3 linked regions of the Caenorhabditis elegans genome follow. The protein of the gene in region 2 interacts with the protein of the main gene of each other region in a pairwise test. Each region holds a gene or a part of one and is shown on either strand. Other genes may lie near its edges. The genes, in order: F42H10.3, B0353.1 and aspm-1.

Region 1 (6,443 bases), 7.9 Mb from region 2:
AAAATTGTTTATTTTTTCAAGTTATAAAATATATTTCTCTATGGTATTAAAATCTATAACGAGATAATAGTACTTCAAATAATTTTCAACTTGGTAAAGTTTCAGCCGAACACCTGGATTTGGATCCAAGCGAGTCTCAGACAAGCTTGCACAATTATCTCCTGCTGCTCAAAAGTTGGCAACCAAGAAGCTTGGATTAAAAATGTTACCTGCTCACAAATCTCCTTTCGCCTCGCCGAAAATCATGTCGAATTGGTCAAGACCGTCAAGTTCAAAGCGATCCACAACTCCTGGTTCTGCATGGAGTCGTGGTTCTACTACACCTGGATCATCTTGGAGCCAAGGAGCACAAACTCCTGGCACACCTGGGATTGAATCTATGATCCGAAGAAAAGGGGATAACGTCGGACCTTCAACATCAGCCGGAGCTGCAGATAGAGCAAATGCTGGAGACTTTTTCTAATATTATAAGATTAGTATAATTTAGATCTGTATATTTTGTTCTCATGTGCCTTATAGACACGGTTTATTATTTATGACAATGGCCTAATAATTGATAGTAAATTCATTTATTATAATTTTTAATTTTTAAATTTCAGCACCATATAACATTTTAGAAGATTGAAAAACAAATGGAGAAAAGGCATTCAGAAGGTGAACAGAACCCGTTTGTGGGATTTTCAGAAAGTTGAAAAAATAACTGCAGAAGCCTGAAGCATAATTGAAGCATTTAGGGGAAATGTGTGAGCAAGAGCAGGTCATGGAGAGATAGAAAATGTGCGTGGGTTTGGAAATATTAAGAAAGTCGGTGCAATCCGGTAGGAAGTTTATGTGGTTGAACATAATTTGCAGGTAGCATTCCCCATTGAAGAGTTCGTTGAACTGTTCCTGTCATCCATCCATCATCAATTTTCTCGCAGTTCACGATGATATCACCTTCGAGGAATGAAATCTGGAATCAAATATTTTAGATGGTTGAATAAATTTTCATCGTGAAACTGGTTGAAAACCTAATTTAAATTTACCTCGTCTTTATCAGCAGCAGCGTAATCATAAATTGCCTTAACTGCAAATCCAGCTTTTCCAGTCGGTGAAATTGTGCTTTGTGGAGAAGAAAGTGTTGAATGTGGAGATGTTGAAGATATACTATTTGATGATGGAGGTGGAGCTCCTGCAAAATCCGCACAAAATCTTGCCGGACCTTTATCCACTTGAGCCTCTGCAACAAGCGGTTAGTTTCAATTAATGACAGATCAAAATTATTCAAAATGAGCTTTTTAAAAGATTATTTCTTCCACAAAACGAATTAATAAGTACCAAAACGTGCAAAAAATTTGTGTGGATTACAAATGAGCAAATCATTCAAACAAAAGCCAAAAAAAAAAACAAAATCCTTACTCAAATATCCAAGTTTCTCGGAATTTCTCGGTTGAGCAGCAGCTGTACCCCATTGTCCGTTCATTGGATCATAGTCAGCAATACTTCCGATTGATTTTTGTGGTGTTGGAGATACTGAAAGCGAAGAAAAATAACAATGCACAACACAAAAGCTTTTAGAAAATTACACATGAAGCACAACGAAAAATTTGGACTTTATATAACTAGATACCATAAATTAGACAAGGCTTAGGCTTGGCGTCAGTGGGGGAGCGTTAGCTCCCCCACTGACGCGCGATAAAAGTGGCTATTTAGGCTGAAGCCGCGCCATACCGCCGGTGTGTCATAAGGATTTCCAATATTTTATTCCAGTTGGGCATCCTAGTATGTTTTTCGGCCCTTTAGGCTTAAGTGTGTCATAAGGATTTCCAATATTTTATTCCAGTTGGGCATCCTAGTTTTTTTTCGGGCCCTTAGGCTTAAGTGTGTCATAAGGATTTCCTATATTTTATTCCAGTTGGGCACCCTAAGTCTAAATAGCTCTTTTTCTTTTCTTTTGCGCTCCAAGCGCAAGGAAAAACCTTATTGTAACTTTTTAAGAGGTTAGGCTTAGGCTTAGGCTTAGACTTAGGCTAGGCTTAGACTGAGACCTAGCATTATCTTAATTTTTGGTCAAATAATGTATCCGTACAAAAATCAGCAACAAAATCAGCAATAACTTTTATAGGCATTCAATCAGTTTTTCAATACACAAGGTGCTCTTTTTGGATGCTCATTAATCAATTCAATTGCTAACTAACCTGCTCCACCTTGCTCTGTTGAGTAGATCAAATGCGTATTTGCGGCTACTGCTTGTGTTGGAGCCGAATATGATTGATGGTTCATTGGAGAGATTGGAGCTGCAATAAATGGTTAGTGGAAAAAAAAAGTGAGTTGAAAAATGGAGAAGATTGATTTGTTGGAAATAATTCTTTAATTAAATGTATTCTTTATTGAAAAAATCAGTTTGTCATGGTTAATGTAGGATTTGAATAGATAGAAAAATAATAGTCATGATCAGAAATCGAACTGAAAGGAAAATTAAGCTTTAACAGTTTTGGCTGGCCCTTTCTTAAAAGTCGATTTGACTGCTTTCGGCTTTTGGTCAATAACTGGGACGGATGGAGCTGGAGTGGGCTCAGTGGGTTGTGGTGGAACAACAACACCTGAAGGTGTATTTTGTATGAAACAAATGAAGAGATTTGAGAAATAAGTGAACATTAGGACATTGATATGACACGAAAAGAAGTTGAAAATTAAAGTTCAATCTAAAAAGTATTTTCACTCAAAGCCATTTTGGAAAGTTTTCTATAATTCTATATACTAACTGAATGAAGAATTCAGCTTTCTAGAAACAACACTGCAAGTTTGCTTTTTCAATTGTAGAACATCTAAGATATTCTTCTTTAAAAACAGTGTTATTTTTTTAGAAGAAAACTCTGTTATCTGTTTGGCCTAAAAAAGTATGTACCTGGCTGAAAAGTTGGCAAAGTTTAGTCCAAATCTGGACAAAACTTAAGTTTAGATTAACCTAATCCTGATAAAAATATTTGATTCAAAATTTGTCATGTCAAATTTGGCTATATATATTGTTAGACCAATTTTGGACTGAATATTGGCGCGACCTAGAGCAACAACCAAGTTAATACTTTTGCCAAAATTTGGCAAGAACTTGTCCCACATAGTTTTTACAATTTTCAATAAGCGAGAGTCTTTAGTAATTTTCTTTCAGCTTTGAGCAAGAACACTTTAAGATTGATTATAAATATCTGCTCTAGAATTATGGCTAGCTGAAAAAAGCAAAGATGAGGTAGAAGAAAACAAACAAAACGTATCTAATCTAGATATCGATATACCATATTTCCCCTCAAAATGTGCCAAAAGTGTACAAAATGTTTCCAGTACAGTTTCAGAGAATATGGTAAATATGAAAAAAGAAACATTGAAAACTAATTCTAAAAAAAAAGCGAATTCTATCTAGGATATACAATCACCGGAATTTGCCAATAATCATCGTCTTCTTCTTCCTCATCAACTTCTTTTTCTTCATACTTCTCTTCAGTTTCTTGAACCATTGCCACTCCAATTCCATACACAACTCCTCCATTTCCAGTGACCAGTTGATAAACTGGCAGTAAAAAGCGATACAAAAACAATAAGAGAAAAGTGAGGAAAATTGAAAAAAGAATTAAAAGTTTTTCCCGTGCAAGACTTTTGACATAACTTGGACGATACAATTCTCAAGTCCATGGGGACAACAAAATGGAAGAACAACTTACTTGGAGTTGGGTTTGGTGAGATTTCCTCTTTTGGACGGACTTCTTCTTGACGAGCTTTTTGGTCGAGAACTCCGTGATAGGAAACATTTGATTGAACCTTAAAATAGCATTATTCTATTCTATCTTTAAAAATTTATTTCCAACCTGAGTATTTTTCTTCAGTCTTTCCATCTCTGGATCATCAGCAATTTCGATCTTTGTTCCCTTCATTTTCTCGTATTCGGCGTGGTATTTGATCTAAAATTTCAGATTATGAAAATTTGAAAATCAGTTATAGGAAGTAGCAGGTTTTATTGAATAAAACTAGCTATTTTGTTTATAGTTTTTTTTGTGTTTTTTCGAAATTTTGGAAACTCGAAGAATTTGAAAATTTCGTATATTTTATAAACTCAAATTTGAGTTAATTTTTACATTTTTAGTATGGAAAATTCTCATTATATACTAAGATGAACATTATATTAGAACTCTTCAAGAAAACTTGATTTACAGTAGTTTCCGTGGCGAGATCCTTTTTTTGAGAATCCATAATTTGACACCACTACAAATTTTTTAAGTGCCGAATTCGACAAAATTTATTTGTGTAGATTTTATAATATTTTTGATTTTGATTTTACAAATATTTTACAGATATTTTTTGGAAGAATTTTAAAAACTCTTTACAATTTTTGGGATAACATTCTCAAATGTTATATTTTTTAATTATAAATGAGATTTATGGGGAGACGATTTATTTTTTCTCTAAATTTTTTGCAAAAACTTACGTTACTCTGATTTTTAGTATTCTCTGCGATTCTTCTCATTTCTGGAGTATCCGCCATCACTGAAGCCACGGTTTTTGGATAATGTCTGAAAATAGTTGAAAATTTAGAAATTGAAATATTCTCATAAAAACTAACGGATCACAATACGGTCTCTTGTCGTATCCCTTATAGTTTTTCATATTCAATGTCATTCCGCAAACAGTGCATTTGAAGCATTGCTTGTGCCAAACTTTATCAAGACATTTCAGTTCCTCAACTGGATATACCGTCTTCCCGCAATCTTCGCGAGCACACTTTTTGCTCATTTTCTGGAAATAAAAACTGTAGAATATGAAGATTGAAGATATTTGAATAAACTAGAAAAAAATACAAATAGAAATCATAATAATGTTTTTGTAAATTGGCAAAAATTGGTAAAATTCATAAGAGTTTTGAGAATTGTCACATATTTTTACCCTATCAGAATAAAAACATATATTTTTGGGTTTATAAAATTATGTGTGGTAAAATTAAAAGTTGCCAGTTTAAATAAATCAAATTTGGGTTTTTCGGAAAATTTTAATATTAAATCTGTCAATTTGAGGTATTATCTTTGCTGAACCTTAATCTTTATAATTCTAACTTTTAAGACAAAACAAAATTTTTTTTTAATTTATAATTTGGAAATACTTTCCAAATTCTATGCTTTTTGGAAAGTTTCACCCTTGGACGGGAACGAAAGTTGTATGGCATAAATGATAGATAAGGCGAAACAAAGAAACATAGACAGATAGAGTAAATAAATTGAATGGTTAGGTTAGGTTGGATGTAGAATGGTAGGAAAATGACGGATAGACAAAAAAATGTATGAGTAAAAGTAAACGAGGCGAGAAACGAACGAGGGATGAAATGGGCGGATAGGGTGATTGTACAAAGATTTCGGGTAAAAAATTGAGAAATAGCGGGAAAGAAGAATGTGTTATTTATTCATGGAGCCCCCTTCTTCACTCCCCGACAAGACACTACACACAACTCTCACACATTTATGTTTGTGCTCATTTTGACTTTCCATACTCACATTGTTATCACACATATCAGTGAAATCAGGGAACTTGGTTTGTTTTGGCAAACGATTAAGTTGCGGTAAACGTATTGTTGGTTTGGGAAGAAAATGAAAAATGTATTATAATATATGAACAAAAGTGTAGTGGAGGCGATATGAATAATATAATAATATTTAATAATATATATATATATATATATATATATATATATATAATATTTCCCGAAAATTTAAATGTCCTCCATTTCTTTTTTTGCGATTTTCGGAGCCCAACTATAGTTTTTGCTTCAATTAATATTCAATTTTACAGAGAACCGGAAAAATTATTTTGATTTGAAGGAGTTTTTGTTTTAAATGTTCGGTAAATTACGAAATAATACTTTTATAATGAGTCCAAATTTCAAAAAAATGAGCAGGCATCTGTCCATTTTTGAAAGTAGTTCAAAAGGATTGTAGATGACCTCTCAAGAAACTATTAAAAAAGAAGAAGACGAAGCAAAGGGTACTAGTCTATTGAGAAGCTCATTTTCGAAAAAGTAGTTTTGAGTTTAAAATAGCTCCCTCCACATAAGAAAGATACGGGTCGCATCCTCGGAGCCGGCGGCGAAGAGAAGATGGGGAAGCGGTGTAAAGTGAAAAGTGAACACTTGGAAGAAGCCGTGCATACAACATGTTGATGATGCATCATCATTTTGTATGAAATTTCAAACGTTTTTTTTTTATATTGAAACCCAATTTGGAAAAAAAATGTATTGAAGCTGAACGGAATTCGAAAAATGTGCAAAAAACGACGTTGAAAAACTTTTGTAAGTTTTGTTTAAAATTGTTTGTAAATTTTTCTAGGCAATTTGAATAAACCGCAGGCTTAGGCACCAGAAAAGAGACATATTTACCCAAGAACACATGATTTTGGTTTTTTGCAATCCTTGATAGAAACTTAAACAA
Region 2 (4,911 bases):
TTGTATCTCTGCGCCTCTATACTTTTTTTCTGTCCTTTTGTTCCGTCGTGCCGCTCAGATGTTCAAGTGGTATCGGGAATGAATATGTGCAGGAAAAATAATCGATACTAGATAATTTTTGGGATTTTGAAAAATTGGATCTTATGAGAAAAATGTTGAAAGTTCCTTCGAAATGTTCAGAAAACTTTTAAAAAAAGGTTTAAGACTTTTTAAAATGTTTTTTTTAATTAAAAAAGTGCAAAAAAATTGTTTCTTGTTTATCCAGATTACCAGTGAATATTATAAATTATATCTAATAGTATATCTAGATAAAATCTAGATACAGTTACAATCTTGACCCCACCAAAAAGTACGTATCTTCTTACCTTTAGTGGTGGCACTCCACTCATCATTTTTTGGAAGAAGAAAAAGTATTTGATATAATGGGTCTCTGGAAATTTTCTATAATGAAATTTAAGAAAAGAGCAACAAGAAAAGGTAAATCTAAAAAAAATTCAAGAAAAGAGCAGTTTTAGACGAAACTTTCGAAATAACTGCTAAAATGTACTGGAGGCGGAAAAATGATGGCGGAAGAAACTTATTGATAAAATTGGGAGAGAGGGAAAGAATTTGAATGAGTCATTGGAATTCCATACATTGGATAACAAAAAATATTGGTTTGTATTTTACAAAAACTTGCAAAAGTATTTACTGAAAAAAAAAGTTTTTCGAAAAACCGGTCGTTTGCTCTTTTTCTTGAAATTTTCCAAAATTTAGAACTGTTTGAAAAATTGCTTAAACGAAAAATGGCATAGAAAATTGGAATTTTGAAACAAAAACTATTTTAAGAAATTGTGTTGTCCGATTGTCTCATTTCGGTTTGATCTACGTAGATCTACAAAAAATGCGGGAATTGAGGCGCAGAGTTCTCAACTGATTTCGCGTGGTTAAGAACGTGCTGCTGCTGACACATTTTTTGAGCAAAAGATTCCCGCATTTTTTGTAGACCAAACCGTGATGGGACAGGCTTTCACAACGTGTCAAAACCAAATTTAAATTAGCATTCCTCTGTTATTAGGTGAGGTAGCAAAGTTTTTGCAAATTTTGTAAGCTCTAATTTTTTAGTTGAAAACTTGTACAAATGAAGAAACTGTAAGAACCCGAAAATCAAAAGTCCTAGCAAAAAGTTGTCAACTAATAAAATATGGAAAGTTATGCAAGTTTGAATTTGTTTCGAATGTTCATAAGTTAGAGAAATTTGACATCCAAAATCGCTCTTTTCATTTGAGTGCCAAAATTGTCTAATATTTCAACAAGAGAAAAAGAGATTCAGAGTCGAAAATAAAAGGGAACAGTGCCCTTCTATAGTACCCCTCACACACATACAAATATACACGCGCCGGCGAAATTTGTTTATGTACATTAAAAGGTAAGAAGATACGATTCCACGAGAGAGAGAAAGTAATACAGACTCAATGAGAGACGGCAGAGAAAACGAGGAAAGAGTACAGGGTGTCACCAACGTCCGCCAATCTCCCGCCAAGAAGAGGTACAGGTGACGAGTGAGAAGAGCGTGTGAGGAGTTGAGAGACGCCAGGCAGACAATGGAATGTTCGGGTGATACGCAGACAAACAGACAGATGTATTTATGCAACATTTATGCAAAGGTCATACAGTTACAAGAGCAGTACAGGTGGTGAAATTTGAGTTTATCAGGTTTAGAGAGCATTTTTTGGATGTCGATTTCATTTCAACATTTCCCTTCAAGTACTGAAGAGCAGTTTTCTATTTCAATTTTACTAAAGTTGACCTTTTTTGCAGATCTTACAGTTCGCTAATTTTTGATACTTTTTCTAAATATTTTCATACGTTTGAAAAATACACTTTTAGAAATTGACAACACCGAATGCTCTTTGTCCTATAAAATATAGGAGCTATCGCTACACTGTCCAATAAATTTCTGAAAAACGTCAAATCGGCAATAGGCCAAAATGAAAATTTCTGGCAAATTGACAAACCAGCGAATTGCCGGAATTGAACATTTCCGACAAATCAGCAAACCGGCACTTTGCCGATTTGCCGGATTTGCCGAACGGCAATTTTTGTCTGCTTTGGATGTTACTGGACCCTATTTTCAAACATAACTTACGAAATAACCAAATTTAAATTGAAAAACAAAAAACAATTTTATACGTAGATTCCCAAAATTTCAATATTAAAAATGAGTTTATTCACTAAAATTAGCATACTCTTAGAAATTGGAGCCATTTCGGAACACCTGCGCGTGGTTGTAACAAGACGGCCGAGAGCCTGAGAGGAAAGAGCACAACAATACATAGACTCTTAGGAGATGGGGGAGGAAAAGAGCAACAATAATATGAGCATAAACACATTATAATACCCTGCCGCCAGCTGGTAAACAGACTTTGGAAAATGGGTAAGGGCCTGAAATTTTCGGAAAAAGTCAACTGGCATAGTGAAAGCAATTTTTTGTACAGTATTTTGTCAATTGACAAATTTTCATATCTTCTAAAGTATCTGTATGTAGAGAGCGTGCATTTACGAAGTGTGGATTTACGGAGACACATGTCGCTTTACCTATTAATAAGTCCTTGTAGATTTACGGAAGCTACTCAATTTTTGGCAATTTTTTATTTTTCTACAGTATTTTAGTTTTACAATTTTTGGCAATTTTTTATTTTTCTACAGTATTTTCGTTTTAACTCTCTGAAAACAAAACAAAAAAACAATTTTTAATTAATTTTTTCCATATTTTTTTAAAAATAGAAACCTTTTTTCAAACAGCCACAATTTTCTTGAAACTGAATATATCAAAATTTTGTCAACTATATGAAATTTACCCAAAATTTCTCCCTAATATTTTCCCAGCTAATAAATTTCATGTATCTCTACAGTACCCCACCTCATAAGCCTCACTGATCCGTCTCCTGTTGATTCCATTGATTCTCCAACACCGTACAGTAACGTCTAGCAGTGAATCAAAACAGAATATTTTTGTTTCTTTTTCCATGTTTCAATTTTCAATTTTCCTGTGTCAGGGGTTTTATATTAAACTAGGCCCCGCCCTTTTCGCAAAAAAAACAATCAAAAAAGCCAAAAAAAAAAAAACAACAAAAGAACTGTTTTTGACGCGCCGAAATTGGAAATTTTTTAAAGTAAAAAACTTTTTAAAGTTTATTGTATTATACATTAACAAGGTTCCATGTAGATTTACTAGAATTTCACGTAGCTTGAGTACATTTACGGGGGCTATTGTAGATTTACGGAAAGTAGTGTAAGATCAAAACAAAAATCTAATGTCGATTTACGATCATTAAAAAAGATTTACGAAAGGTTACCGTATATTCTCTATTAGTGCTGCATGTCGCACTAATTTTCAGGTCCTTTTTGAATGCAACACTATTAGAGACTGCAGTACTGATAGAGAATTTACGGTATGTGGATTCAGAAGTGTCCATGTGGATTTACGGTAATTCATGTATATTTACAAAGACTAGCGTAGATTTACGAAAACTGTTGTAGATTTACGAAGATTAGGTGTTTTCAATTTACAACTACAGTGACTAGGAAAAAGCTGAATACTTATCAAAAAATATTTTAAAAAAAGATCTAGAAAACTGGAGAAATCACACAAAAGGAAGCAGTTCCGTGTCAGTGTTAGAAGAAAACACTCATCAAAAGGCACAAAGCAGTATGTAAAAGGAGAAAATGACATGGAGATGGTCACATAGACACTTGTAGTAGACATTGACCTTGTCTTCTTCTCCTTGAAGTGACGGAGGAATGGACGAAAAAGTGGATGGAAACAGAGGATTCTGTATGTAATTAGTTTTACCATATTTGGATGGGATGCGATGGAAATTGGAGGAACGATCGTGTGAAGAGGTGAGAAAACCCGAAAAGTGGATTGAAAACTGTTCTGAGAAATTGATTTACCGAAGCTCTGGTAGATTTACGGAGATTCTTATAGACTAGAAATTATTTTTGTAGATTTACAAAGGTTCTTGTCGATTAAGTGTAGTTTTCGTCAATTTTTGAAGGATTTTGTAGGTTTAAGGGAGCTGGTGTGGATTTACAAAAACTTTAGTAAGTTCACGGAAACTTTTTGAAGATGCCGGAAGTTTATGTGGATTTATGGGAGTTTGTGTCGATTTACGCGAGCTTGTGTCGATTTACGGAATAATATTTTATGTAAATTTGAAGAAATGTTTGTAGAATTACAAAAACGCATTTCTATGTTCTTTTTTTGCAGAGGCCTTTGTAGATTTACGGCAGCTCGTTTTGATTTACAGCGGCTGGTACAAAAAAAATTACAAAAAAAAGTTTGTGTAGAAATACAAGTTTTTTTTTCTCAGGCTTTAAGGATAATTTTTTGGAATGTCAAAATAAATCTTATATATTTACACAGACTAGTGTGGATTTACGGGGATTTTTGCAACACATCCAAACTCGTAAATTTATGTTGAAAATTCAAAATGTAATAAATCTTTTAAAAAAAAACTAACCTGAATAAGCATATTGTAGTACCGATGGCTGGCGTCTCGATTGCTTTTTGCAGATCTCAAGGTGTCCACGTCGTAGTCCATTCCCTGGAAAATTAAAATTGGGAAAAGGTGCATTTTTTGATTTCATGAAAATGAAAACTCAAAAAATTCAGAAAAAAAGGAAAAGCAGTAAATATAAAGCAAAGAAGAGTGATAGGAAAAGGGGGAAAACGAAATGAGTCAGAATTCATTCTGAATCGGGAGAAAACTGAAATGAAAACGGTTCTTTTTCGTTTTTTGCACGAAATTTCTGCAGAAAAATTGTATAGAGTAACTACTTTGAAACAGAGGAAAATTGATTTAAACAATAGGATGCCGAAAATGTGACCAGAAGCTTGTGTGAATTTACGGATACTCTCAAAAAACC
Region 3 (7,239 bases), on a different chromosome or scaffold from region 2:
TTTTAGTGACCCGTAAACCGACATGAGTTACAGAAACTCGTTTCCCACGTGGCGAGACCCATACGCGCCTTTAGAATTCAAAAACATGTGTTGCAAGAGAACATATACAAATCTATTCCTGTAGATGTCAGCCGCTTCAACTTTTTTTCCAGAGGAAAGCAAAATCTAGACAAAGTTATAATGAAAATCCTGTCTGGTAAGTTTTTTAAAATTACTACTTAAGTAGCTACTTTTGATTTTTTTTTGTTGTTGAAAAATCACCAACTTTTGGCCGGCACTGCATATAGCTGGAATTAATAAAAACTAATGAACAATATTTTAAAAATTCGGAAAAACGAGTACTACTTCTCTCAAACTTTCGAAAAAAACCATAAAAATTTTGAGTAGGCGGAGCAGGAGCCGAATGACGTGACAAAGTACAAAAAAGAGCAGAAAAAGATGGTCGGAGGGTTACTGTGTAATGCGAACGGAGAGTAAGACGAGTAACTATTTGCAAATCGGATGAGCCATCTGCTACGCAACAAGTGCAAAACTCAAAAATTTTAAAGAGGGAACAGAGAAAAATAGCAGACTTCTTGAATTTCTAAAAGTAGCTAAATTCATCATACTCTAAAAAAAACGGTAGTATTTAAAATCAAGTTTTTACTTCACAACAGACTTTAAGAAACAAATATGAAATACCAAAAAATCCAAATAAGCATCAGGTTGACTGATCTTATTGGTAAATATTCACATAAAAATAATTAAACCGTGTGTATTTTTTCACGATATGATACACAAAACGGTGGGATGAATTTAATATTTAACAGAGACTAATTTAGAGCATATCTTCGCATATGCTTTCCAATCTGACCAATTTATTCCGACACTCCTGATCCTTGACTTTTTTGAGCGACTGCTTGATTGAGTAGCTTGATGAAGAAAAACTCGATTGCTTTTTGTCTGGGAATCTTCTAGCAATTGAAGTCAAGGTGTTAATGATAGGAATAAACAATTCCTTGACTTCCGAGTGCTTCAGCATCAGTAGCATCAAGCGAGGCGACAAAATCTTCAAGTGAGGGAGAATATGCGAATTGGTGACTTCTTCGGGAATCTTCGTGAATAATTTTTCGAGAACATTCAATAATGGATGAAGAATGCTCGTATAAGAGAATCCTCGATCCGCCACAATCAAAACATCAGTGATCGACTTGATGCCATTCAGTTCGACGACAAGCTTTTCCAAAAGTGATGGAACAAGATCGGTGACTCGGTCTGCAAAATATGAACATTTCTATGTGTTGTATGGTTTTGCAATTGACGAAGAAAATCATCCATGGCGGCATATTCATAAACTTTTGGTTTCTATGACTTTCAGATCAAAAAGCAGCTTCTTCGTAATTTTCATTTGCGACATACCGATGACAGTTGCAGCAACATGAACGACGTGAAGGTTATCATTTGTGAGTCCATGAAGAGCGCATTTCTTTAGCCTGAAAATCAATTTTTTTAAATATATTTAAAAAAAAAAGAGTTCTCACTTTGCCTCGACTGATTTATCCTCCATTTCTTCTATACCAATTTGCTCGTCTTCTTGCGCCAATATGTGATTGTATTGGATCATGCGATTGCGAATATTGCTAATTTCCATTTGGAATTTACGCCGTGCAATGAAACCACGTATCATTTTCTGAATGACAACAGCTGCCTTCTTTTTATTCTCAAGAATTTGAGTCTCATCATTTTGCAATTGAGATTTCTGATCCAATTGCATTGAATTTTCGAAGAGTTGACTGTCGTCACCGTGAAGGATAGCAACATCGTGCCCAGCATCTGATCTACTGTCGGACGAATCCTCCCCGCCATCACGAACAGCTAACGCATTTCTCTCGATGTTTCCCAGTTTTCTCGCCTGAAACTTTTAACCATTTTTAACCAGGCCCTGACCACTTTTTAGAGATATCCGTTTTTACAGCTAATTTTACTGGTTTTTCTCGGATTTTTTTGTGCTTCCATTTGAGACGCCAGATGAGAAAAGAAAATCCATTCAAATTTTCCAGGAAAACGAATATCTCGGCGGGCCTTATCAGTCGCTTCTTTTATTGTTACAAAATTTTTAAAAAACCCATTAAAAAATTTAGAAAAATGTTCAATTTTTTACAGTTATATGTGGTCATTATGATCTGTTCTCTCATTTAAAGCAAAAAATGTTTCGTTTTTTGACTGTTGAGTCCACCATTAAATAATCTGTCAAACTTGATATAGACTCACAATTTCCTGTTGCTTTCTCTTGAGTTCTCTGGTTTGTCTCAAGATCCTTCTAAGTTCAGGAGTGTTGGCATCGTCCTCAATAGACACACTAAGGTTATTCGTCTTGACGAAGTTCTTCTGATCTTCTGATAATGACTGGAAAAGCATCTCTAAACGCTCCTGTTCTTCTGTCATTCTGAATTCAACCAATGGGCTTCCGCTTGTCTGCGTAGGATCCATAGGAGATTTTGAAGGTAGATCTTCTTGCGTCTTGCCCTCTTTGATTTCAAAAGTTTCTAAGTTCTCAATTTTCTGACCATCATAGCTTGCTTCATTGTTCCCTTCTAGTGCAACCGGAGAATCTGATGCTTCAAGAACTACGACGCCGACATCTTCAGCTTTAGGGACATGCATCTCTTTGCCAGTTTCAGAGTCTTGAAGAAATATGGCAGATTGGGAAGCGGAAGGAATAGAAGAAAGAGTTTCTAATGGGATGTCTGAAGGTGGACTATCCAAGTTCTCAGCGGAAGGAGCAACAGTGTCTTTGTCTTGGTTTTCATCATCTTCATCTTGTTCTCTGAATACTTCCGCATTGTGCTCCATTCTGACAACGGTTCTCTTTTTCAATGTACTTGGTACGACCGTTTCGTTATTTTCCGAATCATCCTCTTCCTCGATAACCATCGCAATTGTTTTTCTTGTGAATGTACCTCTCAGTGGAGTTTTCTGCATCTTGTTCATGCTTTCAATTGAATCACGTGAAACAGTAAACGTCGCATCGTTGAAGGTAGAATCCATTGATTGGCGAGACGATGGGATTTGTGATAGAGATGGTCTTTCAGTCAGAATATTATTCCGTGGAGTCCTCGGTACTGTGAAAGTGACATTATTAGAGAATGGAGAAACACTTCGGTTTCGAGGAATTGATGAGTCGGCAAGAAGTTGTTGTACAATGAAATACAGCTTGGGAGTATTCTGAAAGTGAATTATAATATAAATAACTTTATTTTTTGATGAATACCTTTCTTTGCACGTAGGCCTTCCACATTCGTTGAATCTTGGTCGCTTTCTCATTTAGATCTTGAATCATACCCAGTCGTTCCAGAAACATTTTTACGAAAAGAGCCATGTTCTGATCAAGTCCTCGCTGAATACAAAGCTCCAACTCGGCAACTGAAACAACTTTCTCCCACAGACTGAGTCCATCATAGTCCTGAATCGGTGTTGAATTTGTTCCGAAAGTGGTCCACAACTTGGCCAGAAGGCACCCATCGGAGAGTGAATCCAAGTCCATGACTTCGATTTCCATCTGTCTTCCGTAAATCTTGCACATTTTTAATACTTCAGAAGACATGTCATCGTGGACAGCAGATCGCCGCTTTTTCGGAGTTCTTTCTTCAGAAACTCTCGTCACCTTGATTCTTTGTTCCTTGGCCACACGAACTCCGATAATAGCCCACAAAATAGACAAAATCTCGTCTTTCTTTCCGCCAACGATTGATTCGGCGTTAACATTATCCGTTGGAACACCCAAAGAAGACATCTCCTGGAGTACAATCTTCACGTTTCCAATTTTGCGGATGCGGTCGCCTGCTGGATCACGTAACTTCAACAGAATTTGACCATGCGGCATCTCTCCGACAGTTTCCAACAGCTTTCTGAAAAATAGGTTATGATCGGTGGAAATAGGGACAGTGATAACATTTGTTGTTGAATGAGGAAAAGCTCGTGTAATTTATAAGAAATCTTTCTAGAAACTCACGCCAAAATTAGACCATCCGAGAAATCTGAAAATCCTTTCGCTTGGTAGTCGTAATTTTCAATGAATGATTGTCGGTAAGTCGGAATAAAACCGACTTTTGCAAACGCTTTTTTGAAAGTAGCAGAGCTTCCAGTCAACAATTCCTTCGTCAGTTCGGAGAACACATCGTCGAGACAATTGAAATGAGAGGACTTCGTGAAGATTCTCGTCAGATTCGGGATAACTCGATGAGTGTGTGCCGTTTCAATCAAGAACATCAGCTTCATCGAGACGGACAGAAAATGCTTGTGTAGAGCTTCTTTGCCAGCCTCAGTGATGATCGGTCTGCAAAAATTTGATTAGGCATAATTTTAACGAACTCGTTCATCCTCTGAAATCAGCAACTTACTTTCCAGAACCTTGTGCAAATTTCTTGTTCTTTAGCATCGTCGGATTTGAGAAAACTAGATCGAGGAAAAACTGAGAAAGTTTTTTCATTAAATGCTTCGGTTGAGCGTCAATTCTCGTGTTAAAGATTGCTTCAAGAGCAGTTTTCAGCCAAGCAGGATGGAATGATAGAAATGTGTGAAGAAGAGTTGTTTGGAGGCCTATGTCATTATATACGGCATGTTCTTTTCGGATTGCGACGTTGTTTTTGGACAGAAGATCCTTGATGCTTGCATCCATTCCTGAATCGTCTAGAAGCTGCTTGCACTTTTTCTTCACAACTTCTGGATCATTTTTCTCAAAAATCCGTTGATATCTCCTGCGTGCATTTTCCTGTGTATTTTCCACTTCTGACGTATCTGATCTTTTCTTCAACATTTTTTGGATATTTCTGCAGGCTTCTGCTTTCGACTCTCCTAGATCCATCTCTTCAGACACATCCAATTCCATCATTGTGTTGCACCACGTGGCGAGTGCAATAATTTGCTTGTTGGCTTTCTCATCATATGATAGAATCGGGGAATCTGATACAGAAGAGCTGATTGAAGGATTGAGAGGAGTTCGCATATTCATTGAAGTCGGACTCGACTCCAAAAAGGCTCGCTCGGTTGCTCTCAAATCGATCTTCTTTGTGTTCGATTTGACTTGATCAAGAAGGCGTTTCTCTGAAAGAGGAAGAAAATAAATAATGAGATAAAGTATAAATATCTTGTTACCGTGTCGATTTGCTAATCGTTTGAGCATTGCCTCTTTTTTATCCTCAACGTTATTATCCATTTTGATTCTGAAAAATACAAAAAATAAAGACGAATAAATCAGGAAGGAAGACACAGCGATATTAGTTTCAATGCCGAGTCCAAAACGCGAAAAAGTCCCGATGTTGTTAGTTTTTTGTCAGTTTTCAGTGCAATTGTCGAACAAAGAAGACAATTTGGGGACTTTTACGCGTTTTGGACGCGGTACAAATGGCCACCTAAAACGGAGGAAAAAAACGTTTTGGGGATAAATCCGGAATTCGCGCCGCGTTCAGGTTGGGTACTGTAATCGTGATAAGACCATTTCTTTGAACTAAGAAGTGTGCCTTTAAACTGCTACTGTGCATTTTTATAATTCACACAAAAATTATATTTTAAAAAAGATTTTAAGGTGACGATTTTATAGTAGAAAAGCGTTAAACAGTTTTCAGGTAGCTTTCGGAAATTTAGATCAAACAAAAATCAATGAAAAAAAAGTAAAATTTATGTTTTGAACGCTCGCGCCACAATGTCATAAATGGAGCGCAATTACTGAATGTCTGCGTCTCCTTAATGCTAGCAATCTCTTCTTCTCAAATCTTGCAAATAAACAGTTTTCTTACCTTTTCCTAATTTATTTTTCTTGTTAAATGTGTTCTATATCACGCGGAAAATTGTCCACAGTTCTGAAATCCACGTCAAGCTGCATTTTCGAAAATCTTGCGTATGAGGAGCATATTTTCAGGGTCAGTTCAGCAGTAATTTCAGTGCCTTTGCTATAGTTTTTGATTTCAGACTCACAATGTCGCTCAAAACGGGGAAATCCTGCTCATGTGGAGTAATCGACCGGCTGTAGTCATCGGAAGACATCAAAATCCGTGGATTGAAGTCAACATACCATATGCTAACAAAAATAATATTCAAATTGTCCGAAGGCACAGTGGAGGAGGCACTGTTTATCATGATCTAGGAAATCTGAATATTTCACTTTTAACAACACACGCACAACACTGTCGGCCAAAAAACTTGAAGGTATTAATATCATTTTTCAAAATAATAAAAATATCATTTTATTATTTCCAGTTCATTTCGGATGCTCTAAATCAACAATTTTCTGTTAAAATCGTTCCAAACAAGCGTGATGACATGGAACTACATCCAGGAGAACGGAAATGCTCAGGAACAGCTGCAAGAATTGCGCGGTATTTTTAAAAAAAATATTTTAAACACTTGTTATGTGAATAATTTAAGAGGTCAAGCCTATCACCATCTAACACTCCTCGTCGGTGCGGATCTTCAAGTATTATCAAAATCTTTGAAATCTCCATGGAGAGATAAAATCGAATCAAATGCTACAAGAAGCGTAAGAGCTCCGGCTGTTGGATTTCTGAAACAAGATGATGCCAATGCAAATGTCGAACAATCAAAATTAGCCATTGTTGAAGCTTATAGGTGAACGGAGCAACTAAAAACTTCCAATCATTAAAAAATTTCAGAAAACTGTTCGAAGAATCACATATAAAAACTGTGAATGTTGCAGAGGAAGTGAAGAAAAATGCAGAAATATCGAAAATCTTTGATGAGTTGAAAGCCTGGAAATGGATTTATGGAAAAAGCCCGAAATTTCAATATTCCCGCGAAAATAAGTCCATAATTGAAGTGAAAGATGGACTCGTGTTAGACACAAATCAACAATTCTCGCCGGATCTTTAGTCATTTCTTTTTATTTTAATTATTTTCTAGTCGTTATTTGATTTTCCGTGTATTTTCCCTTGTTCTCTTGCTCACAGTAATTCCGTTTAAGTAAAATTTAAATTTTTAGATGATGCGAACTGCTCACAAGGATAGAGAGCCGTGGAGGGATATTCGCCGTAGTTTGTGTAAGATTTGAAAAAGCAAAGTTTTTTGTTAATTTCGTATCTTTTAGTGAGCAAATGGCAAGGAGTACGTGTCTGTGATGAACCATCACCATGGTATATGTCCATTCCAACACCATTCAGTCAATTCCATAATGTTTTACCAGAAGAACAAGAGGAAATGGTTTTCACTGAGCTCAAGCTATTTCTAGTCGTAAGTTGGATTTTAAAT

What was found.
Region 1: the proteins of B0353.1 (region 2) and F42H10.3 interact in a two-hybrid assay, tested with the Caenorhabditis elegans proteins (one large-scale study listed by BioGRID).
Region 3: the proteins of B0353.1 (region 2) and aspm-1 interact in a two-hybrid assay, tested with the Caenorhabditis elegans proteins (one large-scale study listed by BioGRID).

The regions. Positions count from the first base shown.
Region 1 is NC_003281.10:8,482,476-8,488,918, reverse strand, and holds F42H10.3 (LIM and SH3 domain protein F42H10.3), read right to left. Parts: upstream 4,767-6,443; 5' UTR 4,762-4,766; coding exon 4,592-4,761; intron 4,542-4,591; coding exon 4,457-4,541; intron 3,933-4,456; coding exon 3,840-3,932; intron 3,793-3,839; coding exon 3,696-3,792; intron 2,277-3,695; coding exon 2,178-2,276; intron 1,513-2,177; coding exon 1,399-1,512; intron 1,220-1,398; coding exon 1,026-1,219; intron 953-1,025; coding exon 797-952; 3' UTR 554-796; downstream 1-553. Other genes in the region: Splicing factor ESS-2, read left to right, coding at 100-463.
Region 2 is NC_003281.10:555,628-560,538, reverse strand, and holds the start of B0353.1 (ASD2 domain-containing protein), read right to left. Parts: upstream 3,022-4,911; 5' UTR 3,011-3,021; coding exon 2,903-3,010; intron 444-2,902; exon of another isoform or gene 393-443; coding exon of another isoform or gene 366-392; intron 1-365.
Region 3 is NC_003279.8:9,221,190-9,228,428, forward strand, and holds aspm-1 (Calponin-homology (CH) domain-containing protein), read right to left. Parts: upstream 5,202-7,239; 5' UTR 5,195-5,201; coding exon 5,134-5,194; intron 5,083-5,133; coding exon 4,380-5,082; intron 4,316-4,379; coding exon 3,992-4,315; intron 3,888-3,991; coding exon 3,251-3,887; intron 3,205-3,250; coding exon 2,251-3,204; intron 1,892-2,250; coding exon 1,521-1,891; intron 1,473-1,520; coding exon 1,399-1,472; intron 1,255-1,398; coding exon 818-1,254; 3' UTR 561-817; downstream 1-560. Other genes in the region: lipt-1 (BPL/LPL catalytic domain-containing protein), read left to right, coding at 5,802-5,897, 5,947-6,183, 6,235-6,353, 6,403-6,603, 6,648-6,864; gip-2 (Gamma-tubulin interacting protein 2), read left to right, coding at 6,974-7,031, 7,079-7,221.